Linked DNA regions of Callithrix jacchus. The protein of the gene in region 6 purifies or fractionates together with the protein of the main gene of each other region. This does not show direct contact. Links are inferred from orthologs where the notes say so. Each region holds a gene or a part of one and is shown on either strand. Other genes may lie near its edges. The genes, in order: WDR19, WDR35, IFT140, kelch repeat and BTB domain-containing protein 7, SIRT1 and TULP3.

Region 1 (4,939 bases), on a different chromosome or scaffold from region 6:
GCATCCAAGATTTCACTTTCTATCTAAAACGTAAAGAATAATAATGACTCACAGATTTATTTGAGTAAAACCTGTTATACAACATTTAGGGGTGTCGTTTTCTCAAGTTCAACTGAACATTCAGACTCCCTAGACTACCAGAGGTCAGTTTCGTCAGAGAGCTATCAGACAGGAAGCACGGCTTGCCAGCAAGGAAGCACAGGTGTCCCTCTCAGTGTGAATGGTCTTGACTGCAGGCTCTGCAGCTATCTAACTGCTAATCTCTTTGTCTTCCCAGATGTAAAGAGCCATGAAACAGATGTGAGAGACGCCCTGATTTAGAAGCCCCCTCTTCACAGGTGCCAACATCTCTTGAACAACTCAGCAGGCATAATTTCAAAGACCCCCATGTGCAAAACGCCCAAATATGAGTCAGCATCTCCCAGGAAGCCCAAAGGTATGGCATTCCCATTTTTTTATTACACTGCAGATCCCATCATGTTCTTACAGTTCACTTATAGTTCCTTCTAGCTGCAATTTACCAACAGGGCAATTATTATTATTATTTACTAAAAGACTATGTTGTGAGTAGCACTGTTGATATTTATCAGGTTTTTGGGGAACAGGGTTAGAAAGTCAACTGAACTTCTCATATAGAAAGGGAAGGGTTTTGTTAATTCCTTACTCATACCTGGCTTTCTAGTTAGTCTGTGTATCTTTGCTTCCTGATCAATATTCATGATAATCAGATATTAGGCTGTTCATCATAATTTCACTTAGCAGGTCTCAAAATTATACTTACCAAATGTAACTGGACTTTGCCTTCAGAAAGTGCAGCAGCATAGTCAGAATGAAGGCTAATACTGGCTACTGTTCCCAAATACTCCATATCTTTCAATTTTTTCACAGCTGTAGCAATTTTTTAAAAACAACATATTAAAATATTGGTAAAACTATCTCATACACACTTGCAAATGTGTGCTTTTGCAAAAATATTCTGAACTTAAAATTTGATTTTAATCTGAGTTGCCATAGAAATTTGCCTTCGGACATTCCATATGGTTTACATGAAACAAAGTAATAGAAAATAAAATCACATGCAAAACAATTAAACCTTAAGTGGCAAGAATCTTAATAGTATTTCCTGTTTAACAGGTTAATTTTCAGGTTTGTTCTATTCCTGAGGGTTATCTGACCTAGAATTGGGTAAAGGTGATGGGGAGGAGGCAGGGGAAGAAAAATAAAACAAGGTTTCCCTCACATGCTAATAGCTATCATTCAAAGAATACAAGGGGGGAGGCTGAGGCGGGTGGGTCACGAGGTCAAGAGATCGAGACCATCCTGGTCAACATGGTGAAACCCCGTCTCTATTAAAAATACAAAAAATTAGCTGGGCATGGTGGCGCGTGCCTGTAATCCCAGCTACTCAGGAGGCTGAGGCAGGAGAATTGCTTGAACCCAGGAGGCGGAGGTTGCAGTGAGCCATTGCACTCCAGCCTGGGTAACAAGAGTGAAACTCCGTCTCAAAAAAAAAAAAAAAGAATAAAATGGGAGACAGAGCATTTATTAAATACCCACTAGGTTTAGGCGTGCTTAAAAAAGTCACTGTGCCAAGTGAGATCACACATTTTATTTCATTTAATCTTCCTCATGATCCATTAAAAGTAGAAGTATCCTCATTTTCCAGATGAGTAAGGCTCACAAGTGTAAAGGATGTGTCTATAGTCACTTAGCTAACAGAGGCGGAAGGGGAAATTAAATCCAGGGCCTCTCTAATTCTGAAACTCATACTCTACCCACTATGCTATGCTACCTTCACTGCAAAGGTAAAGAATAAAAACTTTCTAAAAATAATGCAAATTTTTAGAAGACTTACAAAACCATTTAAGCTGAGAATGAAATATGTGAATAAAAAAGAGTGAAAGACTTGGTCTTAAAAGAAACTTCCAGTACTTCCCAAATAAGAACAGAAATTATATGCTAGATAAGAATAAACAACTAGATTTAGACTTGCCATTCTCTCCAAGGACATAAAACCAAGCTCGATTATTCATGCCTACAGCCAGATGATAAAGACCTACTGCTACAAAGTTGGGTTCCACATCAACAGAAACTGTGATTGGTAGCTCCTAAAATATAGAAAATCGTAGTAAATCAACTGCTAAACTTAATTTAATTTTATTAGTTAAAGAAAAATAACACAATTTTCATACTCCTTCAACAGGGTTGGCTACGGTGACCTCAAGAAGGGAGGTGAGATATGCAATCCTTGTGCTGCAGGCATCCCCCAGTATAGGAAGCTTGGTCAGGAAAACATGAAGTGACCCCCTTTGGGTAGAGAGTGCTAGTAACTGGCCATCATCTGTCCAGGACAAGGTACCCAATCCTGAAATAATCGACAACATAAATGATTATTCAAAAACAATATACAGTTGTAGGCAGCAAACAAATATTTTCATTTAAACTACCAGAGGCATCAAAATTTTAAAATATTTACCTTACCAGTTTAAGTATTTTTATTTAGACTAGGAAATTTGCCATGGATTGGCATAAGAATATGAGCATTGGCTCATTCACTGTGGCTCAAAGGGAAAGTACAGTTACATGTCACTTAACAACAGGGATATGTTCTAAGAAATCTATGATTAGGTGATTCTGTTGTTGTGTGAACATCACAGAGTGTAGTTACACAAACCTAGACAAAATAGAGTACTACATACCTAGGCTGTATGGCATAGCCTATTATTGCTCCTACGCTATAAGCTTGTATGGCATGTACTGTACTGAATACTGTAGGCAACTGTAACACAGTGGTAAGTATTTGCACACTGAAATATATCTAAACACAGACAATGTTTAGATATAATATTGTAAGCCTGAGCAACAAACAAGACTCTATCGAAGGAAAGAAAGGAAGGAAGGAAGGGAGAAAGGGAGGTAAATATGGACCACTGCTGACTGAAACAACATTATGTGGGGCATGACTGTATGTAAGAATTTATACTTTACATTAGAATTAGGATAAAATTCACTATAAATCTCTGGATCAAAGCAGACATATCTTTCTAGTAAAGCAGAATGACAACATAATTAGTAAAATAAGGAGACTATTTTAGGAAACTCTAGTGAAGAGTCATAAAATTTATTCCTCCTATAAGGAATGCAAATCACACAATAACAAACACAGCCTTACTCTCTGTAACTGGAATAAAATGTCAATCTACTTCAGAAAAAGCAATACCTTTATTTTCCTCATCCAGGCTGAGTATAGCATACATGTCTTTTAAGTCAACCAAGTCTTGGATTTTAATGCTGAAAAACAAAAATAGATTAAAAAATAATTTTATATAAAACTGTTTTAGTCCACAAAAAATTATAAACCATGGAATAGGTACCTGGTCTCCAAAATGTGATGTACAGAATGATCTACTGGTTTATGGTAAGAAAATATTAGAATTTCTGTACTTCATTATATTTTATCTTTAAATTTTTCTGGGTTTTGTTGTTGTTGTTTGTTTGCTGCGTGAAGAGATGTGGGGGTAAGGTTGTACCTGGCTTAATCTCTGATCTATAGCTTCAGAAATAAGGAGCTTAAAATTGTCCTGAAGAAATCTGAGTACAAAAATATTTTCCTGAGTAGTATTAATTATTATAAGACGATACAGGCTTCTCTTTACAATGCGCTCCCCTTCTCCCCTGACCAGAGTTCTTTCATACAAAAGGAAATGAATTATAGTATAGAAAGAGCATTACATTTGGATCAGAAGGATCAAGTTGAAAGCTCTGAAAAATGTGGGCCTAATAGGAATAAGTGGATGCAAATGAAAGCTGTGTAGCACAATGTTGGAACCTAATAGTTGTAACATTTCTTTCCTTCTAATCTCCTTTTCTCCCTTCTCTTCCCTTCTAGTGTTTTCCTCTTATTTTTTCCCTCATTATTTTCATTGAATTGAACTTTTAAGTTTTTTAGATTCACATGTGGTTGTAGAGGCAATACAGAGATTTCAGGTCCCCCTTTCTCCCAATAGTAACATCTTGAAAAACCATAGTATAATATCACAATTAGGATACTGACATTGATACAAACCACAAATCTTATTCCGATGTCCCTGGTTTTACTTGTACTCGGTGTGTGTGTTTAGTAACTTTCTCACATGACATTCATGAGATTCACAACCACAGCCAGGATAGATAGTTCCATGACCACAAAGATCTCTTATGTTGCTTTTTTATAAACACTCACCTCCTTCCTTCTGACTCCAGCTCCATCTCTAACCTCTGGCAATCACTAATCTGTTCTTTGTTTCTATAATTCTATCATTTCAAGAACATTATATAAATGAAATCATACAGTATGCCACCTGTTGAGTTTTTTTTTTTTTCCATTCAGTGCAATCCTTTGGAAATTCAAGTTGCTGGGTACATCAATAGGTTGTTCCTTTTTATTGCTGAGCAGTGTTCTACGGCACGGATGAACCATTCATCCACTGAAGGACATCTAGATTGTTTCCAGTTTTTGGCTATTACAAATAAAGTTGCTATAAACATTCACATACAGGATTTTATCTGAATGCGGGTGCTCATTTCCCTGGAATAAATGGCCAGAAGTGTAACTGCTGGATCATATGGTAACTGCATGTTTAGTTTTTTAAGAAACTGCCAAACTGTTTTCCAGAGTAGCTGTACCATGATGCATTCCCACCAGCAACGTATGAGTAATCCAGTTGTTCCTCATCCTTACCCACATTTGGTGTTATCACTATTTTTCATTTTAGCCATTCTATCAGAGGGGTAGTAATAGGTAATTGTGGTTTTAGTTTGCATTTCCCTAATGGCTTATCATGTTGAACATCTTTTCATGTATTTGTTACTATTTGGTGAAATCCATGTCTTTTGCCTATTTTCTAATAGGGTTATTTGCTTTTATTACTTTTGGGTTTTTGCTTAATGGCAACTATAT
Region 2 (4,939 bases), on a different chromosome or scaffold from region 6:
GGCACGATGGCTCATGCCTGTAATCCCAGCACTTTGGGAGGCCAAAGCGGGTGGATCATGAGGTCAAGAGATCAAGACCATCCTGGTCAACATGGTGAAACCCCATCTCTACTAAAAATACAAAAAATTAGCTGGGCATGGTGGCGCGTGCCTGTAGTCCCAGCTACTTGGGAGGCTGAGGCAGGAGAACTGCTTGAACTCAGGAGGCGGAGGTTGCGGTGAGCCGAGATCGCGCCATTGCATTCCAGCCTGGGTAACAAGAGCGAAACTCCATCTCAAGAAGAAAGAAAAAAGAAAAGAAAAGAAAGATAAGAAAGAAGAAAGAAAGAAAGAAAGAAAGAAAGAAAGAAAGAAAGAAAGAAAGAAAGAGAAAGAAAACAGATGCATATCAAGAAAGAATCACTCCCTCAGCAATATTTGTATAAACGAAGGGTCCAGCTTAGTAACAATGTTTCAACAGAAGCTATAACTACAAAATTGATACTTTTGTTTATTTTCATTATAAATAGAGCAAAGTTTTCTGCACAATAGTATGAAAGTGTAAATTCCAAATGCCATCTCTTGAATGAGATTTTTAGGACAGATTTTAAAATAGAAGAATAGGGCTACTAGAAGCAATTCAAACTGTAAAGAAAATTCTTCAAATGCCATCACCTCACTTCTGAAAATATAACAAAGAAGACATTCGATGCTTATTTCATTAAATACAGCTACAGAGAGAGCTCATTTCACTATTACAATTAACTTCCTAGTCATATGTGTTATAAAAATTCTCTAAATTCAACTTTTTCCCATTCCCATGCTTCCCCCATTTCTCACTCCCTTTAAGATTTTTCAATGAATTAAGTTATCTTGACACTGTGAGAAAAAATATTTATTTGGAATATTCCCATGGTATCATGTAATCAAATACAAGAAAAAGAGAGAGAAAATATGGTTGATTTTCATACATTTTATATGAAAATCAGCCTTATTTCACAGTTGTATTTCTGTAAAAAAAATTATATTAACATATTTTGTGCAAAAATTCAACTATAAATAATGAGGCTGATTTTGATACAAAACTCATAGAAATAAACCTTATTACATAGACAGTTCTTGCTATGTATGTTTGCTACATATATTTTACAGTGATATACAGGTCATCATTCCTTTATCCCACTGGACTGTGGCATAAGGGGCAGAAGCTATAGTGGCTTATTGCCTGAGCAAGGACACAGTGCTTGCATACACCACACATCCAGAACTGATCCTCAGTGATCGGGCTTCCCGTGGCAACGCATGTTGGCAGTTTCCCTTCTCCACTGTAAAATAAGACAAGAATCAATTCATTACACTTTAAAACTTCTAATTAATCTAACAATGTATTTAATATACTTTAAAAAATAACGAATAAAACAATTCAAGATTAATGTCAATTACTGTCATTTCAAAAACTGTTCTCAAGAAAAACACTTTCTTACGATGAAACAATAAAGTATAAATACAGCTGTAAGAATAAAGGAGGGTATAATGTTAATGTAAGTTGCTTCAAAATTTAGTGCTTAAGTCCTACATTAAACATTGTACATCTAGAAATCCAAGCTTCTAATAAGGCAGAATGACATCCACTAATTAAAATTAGCCTACCCTTCCATAAGGCTGTCGTACAATTCAGATTTTCTGTTGTCTGTTGAAGTATACTTGGTGAAGATTTCTAAAGCGAGGTCTTCATACTGCTGTTTCTGTTCTGAACTGAGAGTCTCTAAAGAAGTAAGTTTTAAGAAAGCTTTTGAGCAAGTCCCGAAGGCTCTGCTGGCGCATGCGCAGAGTGCTAGCAGAGAGTAGATCTCCACAGCAGGGATGATGTCTTCATAGTCTTTCAGGTGAAAAGCTAAGAAAAAGAGGGCAATTTGGGTTATTTAAAATAATTATGAATATGCATAAGGAAGAATCTCAGTTAAGGTGTTTTCATTGAACTTGCATGAACTAACAGACTGAAAGCAAACAGTGCTGAGAGATGGGAGCACTAGGAGGAGGAACTAGGCTACATGATATCCAAGGTTCTGTGAAGCTGGCTAACAGCTCAGCAGCCTGTGAAAAGAGCCACCACCAAATGCTGCACATGCCTGTGCCAACTCAGAAATACACACACACACACACACACACACACGAACAATTTTGGTGTCAAAACACCCACCTTTTCTTCGATTATGTTAGAAAGTTCTATGGCACTTCAGAAAAAGCAAGTATTATACTATGTCAGTCATAAACTGTAAGATAATACCATGTTTCCTTTTGTTAATAAAAAAAAGCAAAACAGTATAAAATCGTATGTTTTTTTCTTTGTGTTTCTTTGGACAGATTATATTGCTTTCGTATTATTGCTTTGTTGTTTGTCCCACAGAAACACAGGGATTTTGAGAAAAAGTGAAAATTAGTCTCCAAGTTGTCAGTTTGGATAATTCAAGTTACAACATCTTCTTTGCAATTATACTGGAAATACAATCTTTTTTTAAAATGCACTATAGACTTAATATTAGATTTGTAACCAATTTGAATCTTTTTCTTCTCTAGACCTTAAAATCTTTAAAATACTTTGTTATAGTATATCAAAAATTTCATAAACAAGCTTAAAACAACATATTCTTGTGTTTTACAATCAGAATCCTATAAACTGGTCTGGGGTCAAGTATTTACAACAAAGTTTAGTAGAAGAAATGTATATAAAATGTAACCATTCAGTTACAATAAACAATATCCTCTAATTTCACACCCAAAAGACAATAGGTTCAAGGTTAATAATTTACAGGGGGTACATTGTTTCAGATCATTTTACCACTGAGAAAATAAAGGGGGGGGGCAAATAGAGATCTTCACCAGTAGGTGAAGCATCTCAAGTTAAAGATCTAATTGTTCTTTTAAGTCTAGAAATGGTATACAAATTGTATATAATACAACTATTTTAAATAGTGTATAATTTATGTCAGATAGCAGTTACAAGTTATAAAATAAACATTAAAATAAAAAATAATTTTATATATAACTAATAACCAATTAGGAAAAAAACTTTACAACCTCAACCTCATTGTTAATGACAACAAAATTAGAAATAAACTGAAAAATAAACATTTAGAGCCTGCAAGAAGAAAGCTACAAATCTTCAGAAACACAGATACACAAGGGATTTTTTTTTTTTTTTTGAGATGGAGTTTCACTGGTTACCCAGGCTGGAGTGCAATGGCGTGATCTCGGCTCACCGCAACCTCCGCCTCCTGGGTTCAGGCAATTCTCCTGCCTCAGCCTCCTGAGTAGCTGGGATTACAGGCACGTGCCACCATGCCCAGCTAATTTTTTGTATTTTTAGTAGAGACGGGGTTTCACCATGTTGACCAGGATGGTCTCGGTCTCTTGACCTCGTGATCCACCCACCTTGGCCTCCCAAAGTGCTGGGATTCCAGGCGTGAGCCACCATGCCCGGCCACAAGTGATTTTTAAAATGGATGTTTCTGACAAATATCACATGTTCTCACTCATATGTGGGATCTAAAAAGGTTGACCTCATGAAAGTAGAATAGACTGATGATACCAGAGGCTGGGATGGGTACGGGTGATGATGAGAGGTTGCTTAATGGATATAGAAATAAGCTCTAGGGTTCAGTAGCACAGTAGGCTAACTATATTTAACATGAATTTACTGTATATTTCTAACCAGCTAGAAGAGAAGATTTATAATGTTCCCAAAGCAATCATAAATGTTTGAGGTGATAGAGATGGCAGATATCCTATTTACCCTGATATGAGCATTACACATTATATGTAGGAAAATATCACCTGTACCCCATAAATATGTACAATTATGTATCCATAAAAAACAAAAAATTTTCAATGATGCTTCTGAATGAGAAAACTTATAAACACAGAAACAAGTTCAATAGGCCAGATGCAATGGTTCATGCCTGTAATCCCAGCACTTTCGGAGGCTGAGGCAGGTGGATCACGAGGTCAAGAGATCAAGACCATCCTGGTCAACATGGTGAAACCCCATCTCTACTAAAAATACAAAAAATTAGCTGGGCACGGTGGCGCGTGCCTGTAATCCCAGCTACTCGGGAGGCTGAGGCAGGAGAATTGCTTGAACTCAGGAGGCGGAGGTTGCAGTGAGCCAAGATTGCACCATTGCACTCCAGCCTGGGCGACAGAGCAAGACTCATTCTCAAAAAAAAAAAAAAGAAAAAGAAAAAGAAATAAAAAATAAGTCCAATATTAATATTAATGCAATTCTAATCCAATCCAATAGGACTTCATTAAAACCTCTCCAACCCTAAAAAAAGACTGTAAAGTTGATCTAAATGAACAAATACAAGACAACATTCAAAAAATATTTTTTAAAAAGGAATAATGAAGGTGCATTTAAATACCAGATATTAAAATGTAAAAGTAAAGAAGCCAGTAGTGGCACAGAAATACATGAATAGAAAATAGGAAGAGATTAAGAATATGTATAAATTTAGTTTCATGAAGGTAGAATTTCAAATCTGTTAAGAAAGAATAAGCTCGATACATGGTTTCAGGATAACTTAACTGTTATAATAAACAATATTTAACAAACTTAAAGGAATTCCTAAGCATGGCTCCTGAAAGAAAAATATAAAGTAAAAGACTGATATGACGATATAAAAATACTCTATTCATATCATCATCGCAGCTACCACTTATTGAGAGCTCACGAAGTCCAGGCAGCGGGCAGCGTAATAAGTGAGTTTTCTTTTTGTGAACTTCTCAATCATTAAAAGAACTACATGATGAAAATACTATTATCCTCTCTTTACGCAAAGAGAAACTGAAGCTTAGAAAGATTAAGTAATTATAACTTATAAATGCTAGGGAAAATCAATGTATGTGAAAGAGGATTATTACATATGGTCTCTAAAGAGCTCTTATAAAAATAATTAAAAAT
Region 3 (4,939 bases), on a different chromosome or scaffold from region 6:
AGTGCGTGGTGCAATCCTGGCTCACTGCAACCTCTGCCTCCCGGGTTCAAGCAATTCTCATGCATCGGCCCCGAGTAGGAAGGCTGCACCCCCGTGCCCGGCCAATTTTTGTGTTTTTAGTAGAGACAGTTTCACCATGTTGGCCAGGCTGATCTCAAACTCCTGACCTCAAGTGATCTGCCCACCTCAGCCTCCCAAAGTGCTGGGATTAGACGTGTGAGTCACCACGCCCAGCCTGTTTTTATTACTATTTTCTTTGTGAATATGATGTCCAGGAAATAAGCTCGTTAAGGATGGAACTGAGGGTGCCTAACCTGCCGTCTGGGGCCCTTGCTGGCCTGAACTACCTGACGATGGGGCAGTTGTTCTGTCTGTGTTGAAGACCCCTCCTCCAACCCCGGGTCCGCTTGGCAGTCACCTTGGTGGCAAACACCCCGCTGACGTGCATGTCGGTGCGCAGGCTGTGTGCTGCCCCCGTGGACAGGAAGCACACATTCAGCAGGCTCGGGGAGACCTGCACGGCAGCCACCTGCTGGTGGAAGTGTGATGACATGGCCTGCTCGCTGAGGATGGCTACGGAGATGACGCTGTTCACCGCCAGCAGGTTCTTCCTGGAGCCCCACTTCATTTCCAGGTTGCAAGAGAAAGAACCAAATGTGAGAACAGAGCAAGAGAAAGATGCAGCAGGGGAATGCTTCCACACACGAGAGCCCAGACCATTCTCCAGGCACCATTGTTTCAGACTTGAAAATGATTTCAATAAATGCTTTATAAAGCTCTACTGTGTGCTCTGTAGAAAGACTTCAAAACACTGATGCTCAGGAGTTGTGACTGGACGGGCAGCACTTATAAATCTGTTCTGATGGGAAGAACATCTTCTAGAGGTTTTCCGAGTGTGACATAGGGACAGGAAATTCATACAATGGATTAAACCATCCAGCCTTTGCTCGCTGATGTGAAATGTCAGTTTCATAATTTTACATGAAACTTCCAAATCTATCAAAGTAAATGAAAAGCCATGCAAATAGGAAAGCATGAACTATATACAGGAAAACCCAGACACCAGAGACTGCTATGAAAGGGCCCAGACGTGGGGCTCAGCAGAGACTTCAAAGTGGCCACTACGCATCTGCCGAAAGAACCAAAGGAAACCGTGCCTGGCGAAGCAGAGGAGGGTACGATGCCAGTGTCCCAGCAGGAACAGAGAGAAACCCTAAGAAAGAACCAAATGCTGAAGAGATGAAAACATCCGCACACAAAAACTTGTATCCAAGTGATCATAACAGCATTATTCAAATGTCCATCAACGGATGCATGGAGAAACTAACCGTGGTCTGTGCACAGCAGAGTGAAGCGCTGACACAGGCTGCCATCTGGAGGGATTTAGACTTAAAAGATGGACACAAAGTCCATGTGTTGTGTGATTCAGTTTCCATGAAACATCCAGACCGGGCAAATCCTTAGAGGCAGGAGGTACTTTAGTGGCTGCCAAGGACTGGAGAGGGGGAAATATGGGTGACCCCTAAAAGGCACAGATTTTTTTGTGGCGATGAAACTATTGTAAAATTTGCTGCGGTGATGTTTGTAAAACTCTGTGGATATACCAAAAACCACGTGGTATATATTATGAGTTCTATCTCTGTAAAGCCTTTTTAATATATATATAGAGAGAGACGGAGATGGAGGGACGGGCTGGTAGGTAGACCAGTATTAACTAATACAGGTCCACAATCTCTTCACTGCAATTCTGAAATCCTAAATCTCTTTTAAAATGTCTTATTATTGTTATCTGCACAGAATCTTAAGTTGAATAATAAAAAAAGGTTCAAAGTCAGTTATGGCCTCCACTTGCATGCAGCAGAAAGTGAATGCACTGAACACCCTTGCAGGCTGTACCTGGATTTGCGTGATGTTTCCTTGGAGCTCAGTAGGGGTCTGAAGGGCCCACCTGTCCCTGCCCTCTGCCCCAGGGCTGCCCAGGAGGCCTGGTACTTTTCTCCACATGGCTACTCGTCCTCTGTCAGTGCCAGCGGCCAGAAGACCTACAGGTAGAAACAAACCGCATGTGAACAGAATTGGAAAGGAAAAACAACATCAATAAGCTCTCTTCTCTGACCCCTTCTTCAAAGCATCAGCCCTCGCCCAGTCTGCTGCCTTTCCGCCTCGTCCCTGGCTGTGCCTTTCTGCCCTGCCCAGGTCCTTCCCACCCTGGCCTCAAAGTACTGGTGCTGGGGTGGTGGGGATGCTGCTCTCCCAGCTTTCCCAGAGGCCATAAGACCTGGCTCAGGGCTGCCCTGTGCTCAGCACTCAGCAGGCACTGGAAGAACGCAGCTCCGGCTCACCTCCTGGGCTCCTGTGCTCTGGATGTGCATATGCATACATACACACATGTGCACACACACTTCCTGAACTGTCTTTCCTGTGGCATTTCAGGAGCGAACAGAGATCAATGAGCATGGAATAGGTTTGTCATGCTTCTTTTTAGACAGGGTCATGCGCTGTCACCCAGGCTGGAGTGCACTGGCACCATCTCAGCTAACTGCAGCCTCAACCTCCCAGGTTCAAGCAATCCTCCCACCTCAGCCTCCTGAGTAGATGGGACCACAACTGTACATCATCACATCTGGCTAATTTTTGTATTTTTTGTGGAGACAGAGTCTCACTACGTAGCTCAGGCTGGTCTCAAACTCCTGGACTCAAGCCTCCAAAAGTGCTGGGATCCTCCCTCCTCAGCATCCCGAAGTGCTGGGATGCCAGGTTGTCATTCTTCTGACCAAACCCCTTGGCCTGTAGGTGGGATCACAGAGCTCTGCTGTAGCTTGCTTGTCCTTGGCCGACTATTTGATCGACTGCAAGCTATCAAGTTGCCATTGTTGGAGTAGCCTCCAAATCTCACGACCGTTATTTTGCTGCCCGAGCACAAGACTTGTGGCTGGTTCTGTTTCTCTCGTGCCAGGCCAGGAAGCCTCACCTTTGACTTCGCAGTAACAAACACAGTTTATATTCTCTCCTTTCTCAAAGCCAAACTTCTCGTCTGGACTCAGTATGTAATTCTCTCCTCGTTCTATATCCCAGAATCTACAAGGGAAAAGAAAGCAAGTCGCAAGACTCCTGATATGAAAATGAACACCGATGTTACATTTAGGGCATTTTACATCCTGTTTATAATCAAAGAAAGCAGCTTCTGATAGAAGATGGTTTGTGTATGGCATGAGGTCACCATAAGAACACAGCACTCCAGCCCCATGCAGAGCATGAGACAGCACCCGGGTAGCACACTGCGCTAATGTAGCAAGCAGGAGAGACCAGCACGACTCACTCTAGTTACGCCACGCTCCGAAAAACCAAGAAAACAGATTCCAGGGGCAGACACCTAGGCAGCGCCCCCGGGGGTAGGGGGAGCCCAGAGGCAGCGCAGCAGGGCAGGCAGGGATTCCTGGGGTCTCTAACGCTCAGCTCCTCAGTCTGGGAGCTGGTGAATGGGTATGTCCAGTGTGTGAGCGGTCATCATTATATATGCATTTTACAGTCCATATGCTGTTACATTCCGACATAAAGCTGCCTTAGACGAGCCTGTTCCGTAGGGAATTCTCATTGAGGGGCACTGGAAAGACAGACTCTCACCTGAGGGCAGTCTCCCCGACGGCCATCACGAGAAGGCTGCCATCAATCAAAGTGATGTCTGCCTGGTGGCCGGTCTTCCCGCTCAGCTTGACCTGTGTAAGGAAACAAGGAGGCAGGGGCACTGTGCTTGCTGAGACTGCCTGTCCCGGCTTCAGGACCCGGAGTCTCTGGTGCTCAGTTACTTCATGGAGACTCAACAAGCAGGGAAAACGCAGGGACGAATGATGGAGACTCTGAGAGGCGGCCTTGGCTTTGGAGACGTGTAGGCTGAAGCAAACCACTACCCTCGCACATTGAATAATGGCTACCAAGGGCATGGTGCGGGCGAGTGGCCATCGCTGGACGTGCTCTGGAGGGTCACTAAGTTGAGCTGGGTGCTCCCTGTTGAGTCCAACCACACAATCTGGGCAGGCCTGCCATCCCTGTTCCTCAAAGAACAGGCCTGGCTAGGGCCCACCAGCCAGTGAGGAGCTGAGCAGAGGTCCATGGACTGAACTGCATCTCCCAAACTCCTATGTGGGAGCCCTAACCCCCAGTGTGACTGTATTTCCCTTCAGGAGGTACCTAAGGTTAATGAGGTCATGGGGAGGGTGAGTCCTGGCCTGAGGAGGCTGTGGCCATGGAAGGAGACACCAGGGCTGGTGCCTACTCTCCCTCCCCGCCCTGTGAGGACAATGAGAGGAGGCCCCTGCTGCCTGCCTGACGTGGGACATCAGCCTCCAGAACTGTGACAAATGTCTGCTGTCATGTCATGTAGTCTGTGGTAGATTGTTATGGTGGCCTGAGGTGGCCCCTATGACCAGGTCCCTGGGACTAGTGCCTGTGTCCTCAGCTGCCCTTATGGAATACGTAAGGGACCGAATGAATGCTGACTGAGGAAAAGTCCGCTCTGTCATCTGCAAGTGCATCTTTGGGGAAAGTTTAGTGGCCTCCAAGGAACATGGATTTCTGTGGAATAAACCAGCTGGAAGCTGGGGATCCGGTTGCCTACCCACTGGGTTCTGCAGGTGGAATGAGGGGCTGTGCAGTGAGCGTGTTTCTCTTACTTGCACCCCAGGTCATTAAGGGTGCAGCTTGCGGGTGGGCCCAGGCTGTCTCCCATCAGGCCCCACATCCACCTAAAGATGCAGGAAAATCTCCATCTCTTTTGCTTCCTTCACCTATGAGCTGAATGTGGTGTGATCAGTAATGACACGGCTGGCTATGATGGCCGCCCTAACACAGATGATAGGCTTTTCAGGCTGGCTATCCACAAGAGAAAGGGCTGTCCCCGAGGCCTGAGCCCCCGAGCCTGCTCCCACTCACCTTCATCACT
Region 4 (5,710 bases), on a different chromosome or scaffold from region 6:
GACAGAGACTGAAACATGTTCACAGAGAAACACAGAACATATACAAATCTCAATAAAAAAACTATGTATACCACTGTTTAGGGAAATATTTTAGAGGAAACATACTTTCACTACTGGCCCCAAATGCCATCATCCACTTAGGTTGTTCAGTGTCAACTTTTCATACAAAAATACTTTCAAGCTGATAATTAAGAACATTTACAGTGACTTACAAAATGGACAATATTCCAATGCTACACAAAACAGTTCTATAATACACAGCTTAAAGTTTTAAAGTTCTTTGCTGGCACTTGTTTTATAGCTGATAGACACAATAACTACTGATCTGTGTAAAATACTGTTTTTAGCTTATACGTATGTTCTAAACCATATTATCTCACGAAAACAGTAATGAATAAATCACTTTTTGTTGAAGAATCCTTTAGGACAAACACCAAACCTATACAGCCAAAATATTTTACGGAGGCAAATAAACATTTTAAGACAAGCCATGACCAATGGATAAAAATTTACATTACCCAATTATATGTTCAGGAATTGTTCCTCTGACTCAATAAAGCGTGTAATGGGCATGGATTAAAAATACAAATGTAAAAAGCAAGTTACCTTGTGTTTTGTTTTGGTTTGGTTTAGAAGGGTGTGGAATCCTTTTTTTTTACTTTCTGTGTGCTTGTGAGGCCATTCTGCACATTATCAAAATGAAATCACTATTCAGTAACCTTAACATACATATATCCAATTTTTTTCCTTTGTAGAAGAAAACCAAAATAATTTTACAAACTATATTTAACTTAGAATATAAAGAACTGACTAGTTTAAGATTTTGAAAATCTACCACTTTCATTATTTTGAAAGTACTCATCCTTCAAAACGCCATCAACAATCCCTAGTCCAGTTTTCTATTATACAGATTTAAAAGATAAATTCTTTGTGGCACTAAAGAAAACTTAAAAATTAACAGAAGACTGAATTAAAAAAAAAATAAGCCCACTAATCAAAACAGTCCACTGTGGGATGAATACCTGAACCAGGAAAAAGCCTACCAAGCATCCCAACCAATTATATAGTTCTTGTTTGCATATTTTAATTTTGGACTTTCAGCACAGTAAATTATTAAACGGGTTGGTTTCAGGGACTGTTTAAACCCTGTAGTATTTCAAAATGTTACCCTTTCTAAACCAAATCTGTGGTCGTAATCAACCTTTTTTTCCCAAGAAAAAGAGAGGATATCTTTTTAACATACATTCCATAGCAGTAGAAACATCTTAGTGTCTCAAAATACTATTTACAAAGAGCCCTGCTGATCCTGTGCATTTCGCTGAGGTGCTACCTGCACCCAGACTTCATCATCTGAAAAAGAACTTGAACTTCCTGACTCAGAGTCCAGTTCACTGAATCCATCTAAGTCCCATTCAGTACTAGACTCACTCCGTGCATCATCTTCCTCAGTAATGAAACTCTGACCAGGTTCGAGGCAGGAAGGATAAACTCGAGCACAAAGGCAAATAAAGCCAGAGTCAAACTGCAAAAGGCCTAACATGGTACCTATATTAATCCACTGATCTTCCCTAGTATCATACTCATACACTGTCACTCGGTTCTTTTTCCATTGTGGGGTTGTAGAAGTGATGAGCAGCAACTTTTGCTCATGATTGACAATCTGGTAGTTGTGAGTTTCTGAATCCAAAGGAATATTACTAATCCGCCTCCATTCTCCCCTAGCTGGGTTGTAGACCTTCATGACTGGGATGTCACAGATACAATAGATTTCATCATTGAAGACACACGCTTCCTGAAAGTCACTGCGTTTAAGAGAAGCACAGTTTAGCCACATATTGTGGCTAGGATCATAGCAGAGCATGCGCTTACTGTTGACAGCATAAAGATAGTTCTGAACCACTATGAGTTCAAAAGAATAGAAGGAATGAGGGACAGGAGCCACCAATGCCCACTGGTTTCTCTGAACACTGTAGCATTCCACTTCCTTCAATTTAACTCCAGTAATAGGGTCTCGTCCCCCCAAAATGTAGATGTAGCCATTGAGGTATGCCACATCCATGCCCTCGCGACACAGCAAGCGATCTGCAAGTTGCTGCCAACTATTCTGAGCTGGTTTATACACCCAGAGGTCTTTCCTGGGCTGGGCAGCTAGGTAGATGTCATGATCTGGGGAGACACAGACAGCTGAGGAGGTGATAGTCTTAGTGTGAGCAAAGCTGGTTAAAGGTGACGGCATTGTGTAAATGTCCCCCGAGTAAGGGTCATAGCAGAGAAACGGATCTCTGGGGTGTCCAAAGAAGATCACCATCTCCTTGGCACACATACCCAGCCTCTGAGGTGGATTTTCTGCTGCAGGTACAACAGAGTTGTTGTTGCTGCTGTTGCTGCTGCTGCTGCCACTGCTGCTGCTGCTGCTGCCGCTGCTGCCGCTGCTGCTGCTGCTGTTTGGCACTGGCACCAGAGACTTGTACAGCAGGTCGCCATAGCGCATCTGCAGGGCCCCTTCAACAACGCCCAGGCAGTACTTCCTCACTAAGGACTTGCTCAGCAGCCCTTCTAAGTAGTCCTGATCTTCCTCAGTGAAGTGCGTCCAGCGCACGCACTTGAAGACTTCTGCAGCACTGGGACCCCGCTCTTTAGGAGCAGCCTCCAGCCACTGCACTGCTACGTGGCACACTGTCCGCTCACTCTCCACGTCCAGACTATCCAGGCGCAGAACAGCCAGCAGCTGGGCCAGGGTCAGATCTGCTAGAGTCTCCTCCCGAATCGAACCCATTCGGCTGAGCTGCTTGAAGTTGTGAGCTATATAGGACTGGGCCTGAGACCTCAGCTTGTGATGGTCAAAGGCGTCTGCAAACTTGAGGATGGCGGTGCAGTTGGTCAGGTCCAGGCGTCGGGCTAAGAAGGAGGCACAGGCTTCCCGCACGTACTCCAGCTGCAGCATGTCCGAGGCCGCGTACAGGCGCTGCACGTTGGCCTCACTGAGCGACACACGACCCGTGTAGCAATAGTCCACCAGCACCTCGAAGGACTCGGCGTCCACGTCGTGCATGGTCACGCTGGCCTGCTGGCTCTCGTACATGCCACCTGTGAACATGCTCTTGAAGTAGGGACACGCAGCTGCCAGCACGTTGCGGTTGCAGGAAAAGAGGCGACCCGTGCCGGGCCCGCTGCCGGGCGTTACCACCTCGATGGTCACATCGCACAGCAGCCGCGCGTCGTAGAAGGACTTGAGCTGGGCCAGGAGGGCTGCAGAATGGGCCGTGTCCTTTAATTCCTCTGGGCCCGTGAAAAAGGCCGAAACCGAGGGCTTGGAAATCCTCTTGGGCCGCCTCCCACCGCGGGGACTGGCGAGGCGGCGAGAGCGCGGGGCGTCCTCCCGGGACTGCATGATGGAGATGGCGACGGGCGCTGAAGGCGAGAACGGCTGCAGGACCCGGCTCTGGCTCCTCCTCACCCTTCCCTCGCTGACGCTAACACAAGCCGCTTCCTGGAACAGACTGCGGCACGGACCTGACTCCTGAATTCTGCCTACCCCGCGGTGAGGCCTCCCTTTATCGCGTAGACAGTGGCTGACTCACCCTCTCTCACTTCCGCGCCCTTTCTCCGCCTCTGCTCGCGTTCACAGGACCCGCTGGCTGGGAGCCGCGGAAGCCCCACTGCCGCGCTGGCGATCCCGCTAGGCGCCCTGGAGAACTACGGTTCCCGGGTTGCCTTTCGCGCCCCGAGGCCTGCTGGGGCTCTCGGACAGCCGGGCCAAGACCGAGGAAGGAAACCGCTTTGCATGTTGGGAGTAGTAGTTTGTGAAATATCGCGAGCTTTCCTTTCGTTGCCTGCTCTAACAGAAGTAGAAATTAATACTCCGGGATTTGATGGTGAAGAACGAGGTCTCACTATTGTTGCCAGGCTGGTCTCGAACTACTGGGGGCTCAAATGATCCTCCTCCTTCGGCCTCTCAAAGTGCTGGGATTACAGGCGTGAGCCACTGCGCCCTGCCAATATTTTACAGGGTTTTGTGGGGTTGAATGATATGTTACATAGGATGCTTAAATATGTGTATTTTTTTATTAGAAGAATAATTAATAAATCACTACCCCGTGCCTAGAATGTAATCAATAATTGTTAGATTCTCTTTTATAATTTATGATAAATGAGGCACCCGCTAATTTGAAACCAAGTATTTTTTTTAAAACTGCAAAACGTTACAAAGCTTCCAATTTTTAATTTTTATTTTTTGAGAGGTTCTGAAGAGTATTAATATTTTCAATATTAAATGATGTATATTGGTCTCATTTAACAAGAATGTCTTAGATGGTTAGGTTGAGGTCCTAAAGAGCAGTATTAATAGATGGCCTCAAATATGCAAATTGAGCATATACAAATAGATGATTTGCTGCTCTCACTAACATTTCATCTCTGCAGAGCAAGAGTATTTTCATTAAGCTGCAAATGTAAGTGTGTTCAAATTGAATAATACAGCCTCTTTCTTTTTTTTTTTGAGATGGAGTTTAGCTCTTGTTACCCAGGCTGGAGTGCAATGGCACGATCTCGGCTCACCGCAACCTCCGCCTCCTGGGTTCAGGCAATTCTCCTGCCTCAGCCTCCTGAGTAGCTGGGATTACAGGCATGCACCACCATGCCGGCCTAAGTTTTTGTATCTTTAGTAGAGACGGGGTTTCACCATGTTGACCAGGATGGTCTCAATATCTTGACCTCGTGATCCACCCACCTCGGCCTCCCAAAGTGCTGGGATTACAGGCGTGAGCCACCGCGCCCGGCCAAATACAGCCTCTTTCACTGCCATTCTACAAATCAGTTAACAGACTCTGCAATTGCTTTCGTAGAGAAGTTTTAGGGAGAATTTTAACTCAAAACATTTCAACAGACTTTGTTCTGTACAAAAGCACATGATTCTCAGACTTCAGCATTCATACATGCCCTGACGTTCCTTGAATTAATACACAGTATAGTCTATGCTTTACAAAACTATTTAATATATGCGTTGATCAACAGCTAAATCATCAAAACCAAGTATTAGAGATTTGAGGCAGGAAAATAGGGCCTGGAGGCCGGGAACATAGGCCGATGCACACCTCAGCTCTAACAGGAAGTATCCTCTCCACAGGGTGTATGCCGAGCAAATGGCTGTAACTTTACCTCATTCTCTTCATTTACATAGGGCATACAACAAGTAACCAGTGGAATCCTCCGGAGGGTCTTTAAACCTCTAGAAATGCTGTAACAGGGCCCTTGAGCCCCAATGGAGTGTACTTTCATTTTCAACAAATCTTTGCTTTTGTTGTTTCATTCTATCCTTGCTTTGTTTATGAGTTTTGTCCAATTCTTTGTTCAAAATGCCAAGAACTTGGGCACCCTGCACTGGCAACAGATAGACTTTTAAAGATCACTTTTATTTAAAAAACAGTGACCGCTCCTGGTGCTGGTTTGTTATGTTACCATAACCAAATAAATAAAATCATCCGTATTACAATGCATGTGTGGATAACACATCACAAGAGAATAACTTCAAATTGTTCTTCTCTTGGCTGAAGAGTATCCGCTGGAAATATTCTAGGGTAGACACATTAAGTCAGCCTCTGGGCTCCAATATCTCCTCTGTAAATAAAAAGAGATGTTAGATGTCCCTGAGTTACACCAGAGAGAATTAAGTCAGTCATTGCCAGTAACGCCAATTGTTTCCTCACTTGTA
Region 5 (4,939 bases), on a different chromosome or scaffold from region 6:
ACAGACACCTAAAATGTACATGGCATAATTTGTAAAATTAAATCTTCTACCTTTATAAAAACTAGCTCTCTTACCATATAACTAGATAAGAGTTGAGAAAGAAAATTTTAGTCTGAAACTCCTTTTAAGAAACAAAAATACAACCCTACCCTAATTTCAAATAGAAATAAAACTCCCAAATAACTGAGTATGATTAAACATACCTCATATTCCACCTTTAACACAGATAAGAAATTTTTCTCAGGCTAATTTTAAACCTTTTAAGCGTTTAACCAACAAATTAATGCAAATGCAACCTGAAAAGGGAGTAAACCATCAACAAATTATTTTAAGTAGGGAAGAATTTTTATTTTTATTTTTTGAGACAGTTTCACTCTGACGCCCAGGCTGGAGGGCAGCGGTACCATCATGGCTCACTGCAGCCTCAACCTTTCAGGCTCAAGCAATCCTCCCACGTCACCCTCCTGAGTAGCTGGAACTACAGGTACACATGAGCATACCAGGCTAATTTTTTGTAGAGACGGGGGGTCTCTTGCTCAGGGTGGTCTCAAACTCCGGGCTCAAGTGTTCCTCCCACTTTTGCCTCTCAAAGTGCTGGAATTATATTTATGAGCCACTGCACTAGCCAAGAATTTCTATTACAGACAATTAATTCCAAAGAAATCGTTCCTATAGTTAGGGTTCTATCACCGCACTACTACTACATTTCTCTATTTTCATAAAAAATAGCCAGGCACAGTGGCTCATGCCTGTAATCCCAGCACTTTGGGAGGCCAAGGCAGGTGGATCACCTGAGGTCAGGAAATCGCGACCAACCTGGCCAACATGATGAAACCCCGTCTCTACTAAAAATACAAAAAAGGGCCAGGCGCGGTGGCTCAAGTCTGTAATCCCAGTACATTAGGAGGCCGAGGTGGGTGGATCACGAGGTCAAGAGATTTGAGACCATCCTGGTCAACATGGTGAAACTCTGTCTCTACTAAAAAATACAAAAAATTAGCTGGGCATGGTGGCGTGTGCCTGTAATCCCAGCTACTCAGGAGGCTGATGCAGGAGAATTGCCTGAACCCAGGAGGCAGAGGTTGCGGTGAGCCAAGATCACGCCATTGCACTCCAGCCTGGGTAACATGAGCGAAACTCCGTCTCAAAAAAATAGACAAAAAAATAGCCGGAAGCTGGGATTATAGGAGCATAATAGGGCAAAACTCTGTTTCAAAACAAAACAAAAAAACACCACTGTATAAGCCAGTACAGGTTGAGGCTGCAGTGAGCCATGATGGCACCCCTGCACTCCAGCCAGGGCAACAGAGCAAGACCCTGCCTCAGAAAAGTTTTTAAAAGGCTGTATAATATTTCAATTCTTCATTTCTTTAAGAACAGATTTATATACTAATCATACAAAAAATCCTGACATTTCAAATAGAGATTTCAGAAGTTATTGTTTCATCATCTTACCAGAGTAGACTCCAATTTGACCTGGAGTCAAGGTCAATTTAAGGTAAGTTAAACAAACTTGTCTACATCATTATCTGTCAGCAAAACATACTCCTGATGATCATTTAAGATTATGTAACACCTTTTCACAATTTGAAATGGCAGAAAACAGGACAAAATTTTACTACAGCAGTTGCTCTGGTTGCTAACATGCAATATATCCTGTATGAAATACACACTGTGCAATAGCCTTAGGTAACAAATTAGCTGAGACCCTAAGGTAGATGAAATAGAAAATGTCAAGCCGCCACAATCCTATCATCTTAATTTAAAATGGAGGGAAGGTAGGAATCTCTTATCTTCCCAACATTAAGTTCTTCACTTGTGAATACCAACTAGATTTCCAGTTTCTCATAAAAATCAAACAAATATTCAATTTCTCCTTCAGACTCTGACATACCTTAATAAAAGCAGAGTTTCAATTCCCTGCATCTCCTTTACGAGCTGTGATATAATGTAGGTAAAAATCTTGCTTTAATTCCATTTACCCACTGTGCTATAAATAAGCAGAAGCAAATTTTTTTAAAGGCTGTTGGAGAGGTTTAAAAAATCTGAACTAATTTAGCAACTGCTGCTACACTCAGTTTTTGGCAGTTTCCAAACATCCATTATCATGTAAGGATAAATCCTCCTAAACCAGAAAAATGTTTCCTACTTGGAAAAGGCATAAGAAAATACATTTACCACTTCCCCCATTTACTAGTCTTACATACCCCAGCTCCAGTTAAAACTATAATTTTTTTGCACTCTTGTAGTAATTTCACAGCATCTTCAATTGTATTAATATCTTTTCTTTTTTTCCTTTTTGGTGGTTCTGAAAGGATGTTAATAACAATCTGCCATAGTGTCATGTCATCCAATTCAGGTGGAGGAATTGTTTCCGGCAATAAATCTTTAAGAATTGTTCGAGGATCTGTGCCAATCATAAGATGCTGCTGAACAAAAGTATATGGACCTACAATAAGAGGGAAAAGACTTAGATCAAGTCAACTTGTCAAATAATTCACAATCTCATTTATTTTCTGAGGTAATGAGTTAGCAATCTGTGAGAATTTTTTGCAAAGAAAATGTAATTTAATGGTCTTTCATTCTTAGTACACACTCATAATTAATGCTATATCCCAATGAGACTAGGAAGATCTAATCAGAGTTGGGAGACCCCCTTGAGCTCTAAATACATACTTTAAGAACCTAACAACCAAAATTAAGTTCTTATGGTTAAAATCTAGAAACATACACCACAATAACACAAAAGTATTTACAAAAAGCTGCTACAAGTCAACACAGAAAAGATCGTACCAGACCTAAAAGCCTATACTACTTACCATTAAAACCACACAGGAAAAAGAAATGAAAACCTATACATAACTGCCAGCTTAATTATTTTTCCGGTAATTTTTCAATTTGACCTTAACTAATCTTGCAAGATAATACATACGATGTTGTTGTTCTGAGAATTAATCATTTTCTTTTCCTTTTTTTTTTTTGGAGACAAGAGTTTCGCTCTTGCTACCCAGGCTGGAGTGCAATGGCTCGATCTCGGCTTACCACAACCTCCCGACTCCCAGGTTCAATCGATTCTCCTACCTCAGCCTCCTGAGAAGCTGGGTTTAGAGGCACGTGCCATCAAGCTTGGCTATTTTTTTTTTGTACTTTTAGTAGAGACTGGGTTTCACTGTGTTAGCCAGATGGTCTTGATCTCGTGACCTGGTGATCTGCCCGCCTCAGTCTCCCAAAGTGCTGGGATTACAGGCGTGAGCCACCATACCCAGCCTAATCATTTTCTTTTACCCTGAAATTGCTGAAATCAGCTCCCTAGTTGATTAAAAATATATATATATTTAAATAAAACTACAGACACCAAAGAGAAACTAATCTTTACTGTTTAAATAATCAAACCATTTGTAAAGATTCACTTTCAGCTGGGAGAGGTGGCTCACACCTGTAATCCCAACACTTTGGGAGACCGAGAGGGGCAGATCACTTCAGGTCAGGAGTTCGAGACCAGCCTGGCCAACATGGCAAAACTGTCTCTATTAAAAATATAAAAATTAGCTGGGCATGGTGGCATGCTCCTATAATCCTAGCTACTCAGGAGGCTGAGGCATAAGAATCACTTGAATCCAGAAGGTAGAGGTTGTAGTAAGCCAAGGTTGGCCACCGCATTCCAGAGACAAAGACTCCATCTCAAAAAAAAAAAGAAAGAAAAGAAAAAAGATGATCCACTTTCAAGATGATTATGTTATTACCTTTGGTATAAAAATCTAAAAATGCTTTCTATTACAAAATATTTTCCCATTTCATTCACATATTTATTAAATATTTACTCACGTTTATTAAATATTTGTTGAGCACAAACTATGTGCCAGGCACATTTTAGGCACTGACAAAACAACAGTATACAAGTCAGTCGAAAATACCTGATCCCTGGCCAGATGCAGTGACTCACACCTGTAATCCCAGCATTTTGGGAGGCTTCGCAGGCGCATCACCTGAGGTTGGGAGCTCGAGACCAGGCTCACCAACGTGGAGAAACCCGTCTCTACTAAAAATACAAAATTAGTCGGGCGTGGTGGCGCATGCCTATAATTTCAGCTACTAGGGAGGCGAAGACTGCGGTGAGCTGAGATCGCGCCCTTGCACTACAGCCTGGGCAAGAAGAGCAAAACTTCGTGACCCCTCCCCCCCCAACAAAAAAAAAAATTCCTGCTCCTGTGAAACTTACATATTCTAGACCAGGAAACAATACAATGTAAGATATAGCACTTGTTGAGAAGTGATAAGTATAAAAGTGAAAAAAACAAGAAATATGAAGTAAGTGAGAAAGACAGTCTAACTGGATGAAGAAAAAAAAAAGGCCGGGCACAAGGGCTCATGCCTGTAATCCCAGCACTTTGGGAGGCCAAGGCGGGCGGATCACAAATTCAGGAGTTTGAGACCAGCCTGACCAACATGGTGAAACCCTGTCTCCACTAAAAAAAAAAAAAAAAACTCAAAAATTAGCCAGGCATGGGGGTGGGTGCCTGTAAGCCCAGCTACTCAGAAGGCTGAGGCGGGAGAATTGCTTGAACCCAGGAAGTGGAGGTTGCAGATTGCACCACTGCACTCCATCCAGCCTGGGCGACAGAGTGAGACTGTCTCAAAAAAACCAACAAGGACAACAACAAAAAGCATACATTTACTCTCTTAAGTTAACAGCTCTGAGCCATACCTATCCGTGGCCTTGGAGTCCAGTCACTAGAGCTTGCATGTGAGGCTCTATCCTCCTCATCACTTTCACAGGAATGAAAACCATTAGTGATAATTTCATCACCGAACAGAAGGTTATCTGCAAAACAAACCAAAAGTCAGCCAAGACTACCAAAACAATGTGCACCTAATATGTATGAAGACCCATAAAGGGTTATAGTGTAATCATTTTCATTAAGCATTTAACATTTATATT
Region 6 (3,637 bases):
AGGAAAGACCTGAGAACTATCTAGCTCATTCTCTACTGCTACCAAATGAATCTTCCTAAAACAAGGCTCCAGATGAGCCTCCTGTTCTGCTTCACATCTTTTAGTGAGTACCCACTGTGTCAGAGCTAATATGGTAGCCTTTGCTTTTCAGACTCCTAGTGGCTCCCTCCCCTTCCCATCACACTAGCCAAGCAGTCCTCCTGTCAGTCCTTTGTCCAACCACTCATCTTTCCTCCCTGGAGAGCCTTCCCTTTTCCCCTTTCTTGCCTTTTGCCTTATCAAAGTCTTTTCTGATGTACTCCACTAGATGTGGTTGACAATCCTTTGTCTGTGTCCTGGTGGCATTTGTAACCCACATGTGCTTTTATTATTTGTTGAAAATGAACCATCTCCACCAGTTGTAAACTCCTGTGACCTTTTACTCACTGCTATATCCACACTGGCACATGGCCTGGCACACAGTAGGTATTCAAAGAGTTGTTGAGTAAGAGAAAGTAAGAAGGAACTGACCCATCTCAGCTGGATTTTTTTATTCAAGTCTCAACTTTCTTAAATTGAAAATAATCACATCATTTGACTCTTGGGAGGTTTTATCTACATGCCTGAGAACCATTTGACTTCACACTTTGATGTAAAGTACCTTTCCTCTATAGCTCTCATATATAATCTGCTTGGCTTTGCTGGGTGCAGTGGCTCCCACCTGTAATCCCAGCACTTTGGGAGGCCGAGGCAGGCAGATTGCTTGAGCCCACTAGAGACCAGCCTAGGGAATATGGTGAAACCCCGTCTCTACTAAAAATACAAAAATTAGCCAGACATCGTGGCAGGCTCCTGGAGTCCCAGCTACTAGGGGCGCTGAGGCAAGAGGATCACCTGAGTCTTGGGATGGTCAAGACTGCAGTGAGCTGTGATCGCGCTGTGCATTCTAGCCTGGGCGACAGCATGAGATCTTGTTTAAAAAATAATAATCTGCTTGGTGGCCTGGCTTGGGATTCATGCCTGTAATCCCAGCACTTTGGGAGGCCAGGGAAGGCGGATCACCTGAAGTCAGGAGTTTGAGACCAGCCCGGCCAACATGGCAAAATCCCGTCTCTACTAAAAATACAAAAAAATTAGCCGGGCATGGTGGCTGTTTTTGAGTCTCTGTTTACAGCAAAGTAATAAAATTATTTTTGGTACACTTGTTTGTTTTGAGACAAAGTCTCACTCCTGTCACCCAGGTTGGAGTGCAGTGGCATGATCTCGGCTCACTGTAGCCTCTGCCTCCTGGGTTCAAGTAATTCTCCTGCCTCAGCCTCCCAAGTAGCTGGTGCCTGCCCCTGTGCGTTCTAATTTTTGTATTTTTAGTGTAGATGGGTTTTTACCATGTTGGATAGGCTGGTCTCGAACTCCTGACCTCAGGTGATCCACCCACTTCAGCCTCCCAAAGTGCTGGAATTACAGGTGTGAGCCATTACACCTGGCCAGTACACCTGATATTGTTAGCATCTTACGTTCTGAAGAAAGTCTCATGTTATAAAAGAATGTGGTCTCTATTTTTTTCCTGTTCCCAAGTTCTGCCTTATTTTCCTGTCTTCCAGGAAACGAACGTGCTTGGATTTAAAGGTCCTAGGAAAATGTCTGTGATCATTCCTGGAATGACACTGAATCATAAGCAGATCCCATATCAGCCACGAAACGTGAGTAAGAACATACTTAAATCAGCAAAGGACTCTAAAAGACAGTAATACAATACAGAGAGATTAAAAAAAAAAAAATGAGCTTCCAGAGCCCCACACTGGAGCATGGCCCCATACACTTCTTTAGGAGAGCTGCCCCTCGAGAACCTCAGGATAAGTGCAGTTGCAAAGTCGTTGCCTTGAAACTGTTTTGTCTACAAAGAGAAATGCTGGATAATATAGAATAATAATAAAAAAAAAACCTGTTCATTTTTGGCTTTCATTCTTTGCTTCTGGTTTACTCTTTCTGAAATGGAGAAAGTATTCTCCTGCTCCACCTTCTACCTCAGAGAGTTGAGAATGAATGAGTTCTTAGAGTTCCCAGTACAAAATAATGATTTTCCCTTTGGACAGAACCATGACAGTTTGCTATCAAGGTGGCAGAACAAAGCTATGGAAAATCTGATTGAACTGCACAACAAGGCCCCCGTCTGGAACAGTGACACTCAGTCCTATGTCCTCAACTTTCGTGGCCGGGTCACTCAGGCATCTGTGAAGAACTTCCAGATAGTCCACAAAAATGACCGTAAGCCTCCAGGAGGGGTTGGGCAGGAAGCGGAGGATAGATGCTCTTACAGGATGGGGAAATGTACATTCCCTGTATGTGACAGGAAGTGATAGGAGATATTCATGGAGGAGAGACAGGGTTTTTGGAAAGATGAAACTACAGTTGTAGAGAAAACTTATAAGTCACTGTGCTGAGGAGGGGAGAGGAGTATGAGAGATATGCTACAGCACATCAGAAAAGTCAGCTGGCACCATGGCTCATGGCTGTAATCCCAGCACTTTGGGAGGCCAAGTTGGGCAGATGCTTGAGCCCAGGAGTTCGAGACCAGCCTGGGCAATGTGGTGTGAAACCCCTGTCTCTACAAAAAATATTTAAAAATTAGCTGGGCACGGTGGCAGGCACCTGTTATCTCAGCTACTGTGGGAGCATCGCTTGTGCCAGGAGGTCAAGGCTGCAGTGAGCCTTGGTCATGCCACTGCACTCCAGCCTGGGTAACAGAGCAAAACCCTAAGAAAAGGAAGAAAAAAAGTTTTCCCCTAGTGCAACCACATTATTTTCTAACATCCTGATTTCTTTCTGTTTCTAGCTGACTATATAGTTATGCAGTTCGGACGTGTGGCAGATGATGTCTTCACACTGGACTACAGCTACCCACTTTGCGCAGTACAGGCCTTTGCCGTCGGGCTTTCTAGCTTTGACAGTAAGCTGGCATGTGAATGAGAGAACAATCAAGCTGGGGGCTGGGCTTTCTCCCCACAGGGCTTGCAGGAGCAGACGTGGCCTCCCCTTCCCTCCCCTTCCCTTGCCCCAGGACATGAAGAGCAATAATAGTTTGCCCCTTTTGGAATGATCCCTGAGTATATAAAACACACACACACTCTCTTACTCCTTTTCCAGGTTTCATAGACTTGGTGAGGGATCACAGCTTAGCACAGGGAGGTTCTTGTCACATTGGGGTGTCCTGAAGTGAGAGTGGGATTTCCTGTGCTTAGAAACTCGCCGTAGAACCAGGGACTGACATCGCAGTTCCTCTCCTCTCTTCATTCCCTCACAGCCGATTGGCCGGCACCAATCTTCGTCACAGTGGCTGTGATCACATTTGTGATCGATTATGTGAGAATTTTATAGAATTGTCTTCATTTCATTTAAGGCTGAAAGCATAAACTCTAGAGGTGACTTAGTCAAAACTGACAGTAATTTGATAATTGCCTTCATTTTCAACCCAGGAGTGCCTCCCGAAGCGATATCACTTCAGATCCATTAGTGTGTAGGTACACACCTGTAGACATCCTGTGCAAACACTTTGTCATTGTCATTATCAAGAGAGATGGCAGTATTGACTATTTAGTTTACTTTTTTTAAAAAAAAAAAAAGGTGGCAGGAGAGGCTTCGGGGAGGCTCAGCCAGCAGA

The links.
Region 1: the proteins of TULP3 (region 6) and WDR19 purify together in Homo sapiens (affinity purification with mass spectrometry; 5 studies listed by BioGRID and IntAct, counting the BioPlex papers as one, with this or other methods). This does not show direct contact. The link is inferred for Callithrix jacchus from reciprocal best matches to the Homo sapiens genes TULP3 and WDR19.
Region 2: the proteins of TULP3 (region 6) and WDR35 purify together in Homo sapiens (affinity purification with mass spectrometry; 5 studies listed by BioGRID and IntAct, counting the BioPlex papers as one, with this or other methods). This does not show direct contact. The link is inferred for Callithrix jacchus from reciprocal best matches to the Homo sapiens genes TULP3 and WDR35.
Region 3: the proteins of TULP3 (region 6) and IFT140 purify together in Homo sapiens (affinity purification with mass spectrometry; 5 studies listed by BioGRID and IntAct, counting the BioPlex papers as one, with this or other methods). This does not show direct contact. The link is inferred for Callithrix jacchus from reciprocal best matches to the Homo sapiens genes TULP3 and IFT140.
Region 4: the proteins of TULP3 (region 6) and kelch repeat and BTB domain-containing protein 7 purify together in Homo sapiens (affinity purification with mass spectrometry; 3 studies listed by BioGRID and IntAct, counting the BioPlex papers as one, with this or other methods). This does not show direct contact. The link is inferred for Callithrix jacchus from reciprocal best matches to the Homo sapiens genes TULP3 and KBTBD7.
Region 5: the proteins of TULP3 (region 6) and SIRT1 purify together in Homo sapiens (affinity purification with mass spectrometry; 5 studies listed by BioGRID and IntAct, counting the BioPlex papers as one, with this or other methods). This does not show direct contact. The link is inferred for Callithrix jacchus from reciprocal best matches to the Homo sapiens genes TULP3 and SIRT1.

The regions. Positions count from the first base shown.
Region 1 is NC_133504.1:154,588,178-154,593,116, forward strand, and holds part of WDR19 (WD repeat-containing protein 19), read right to left. Parts: intron 3,292-4,939; coding exon 3,221-3,291; intron 2,366-3,220; coding exon 2,193-2,365; intron 2,109-2,192; coding exon 1,994-2,108; intron 889-1,993; coding exon 782-888; intron 24-781; coding exon 1-23. UniProt on the Homo sapiens protein: As component of the IFT complex A (IFT-A), a complex required for retrograde ciliary transport and entry into cilia of G protein-coupled receptors (GPCRs), it is involved in cilia function and/or assembly.
Region 2 is NC_133515.1:95,300,916-95,305,854, reverse strand, and holds the end of WDR35 (WD repeat-containing protein 35), read right to left. Parts: intron 1,874-4,939; coding exon 1,630-1,873; intron 1,305-1,629; coding exon 1,154-1,304; 3' UTR 467-1,153; downstream 1-466. UniProt on the Homo sapiens protein: As a component of the IFT complex A (IFT-A), a complex required for retrograde ciliary transport and entry into cilia of G protein-coupled receptors (GPCRs), it is involved in ciliogenesis and ciliary protein trafficking.
Region 3 is NC_133513.1:3,839,802-3,844,740, forward strand, and holds part of IFT140 (intraflagellar transport protein 140 homolog), read right to left. Parts: coding exon 4,930-4,939; intron 3,717-4,929; coding exon 3,625-3,716; intron 3,079-3,624; coding exon 2,972-3,078; intron 2,043-2,971; coding exon 1,897-2,042; intron 623-1,896; coding exon 419-622; intron 1-418. UniProt on the Homo sapiens protein: Component of the IFT complex A (IFT-A), a complex required for retrograde ciliary transport and entry into cilia of G protein-coupled receptors (GPCRs).
Region 4 is NC_133506.1:160,345,541-160,351,250, forward strand, and holds the start of kelch repeat and BTB domain-containing protein 7, read right to left. Parts: upstream 3,691-5,710; 5' UTR 3,392-3,690; coding exon 1,286-3,391; 3' UTR 1-1,285. UniProt on the Homo sapiens protein: As part of the CUL3(KBTBD6/7) E3 ubiquitin ligase complex functions as a substrate adapter for the RAC1 guanine exchange factor (GEF) TIAM1, mediating its 'Lys-48' ubiquitination and proteasomal degradation.
Region 5 is NC_133513.1:62,524,465-62,529,403, forward strand, and holds part of SIRT1 (NAD-dependent protein deacetylase sirtuin-1), read right to left. Parts: intron 4,823-4,939; coding exon 4,706-4,822; intron 2,450-4,705; coding exon 2,208-2,449; intron 10-2,207; exon of another isoform or gene 9-9; coding exon 1-8. UniProt on the Homo sapiens protein: NAD-dependent protein deacetylase that links transcriptional regulation directly to intracellular energetics and participates in the coordination of several separated cellular functions such as cell cycle, response to DNA damage, metabolism, apoptosis and autophagy.
Region 6 is NC_133510.1:16,258,464-16,262,100, forward strand, and holds part of TULP3 (tubby-related protein 3), read left to right. Parts: intron 1-1,580; coding exon 1,581-1,679; intron 1,680-2,072; coding exon 2,073-2,244; intron 2,245-2,812; coding exon 2,813-2,946; 3' UTR 2,947-3,637. UniProt on the Homo sapiens protein: Negative regulator of the Shh signaling transduction pathway: recruited to primary cilia via association with the IFT complex A (IFT-A) and is required for recruitment of G protein-coupled receptor GPR161 to cilia, a promoter of PKA-dependent basal repression machinery in Shh signaling.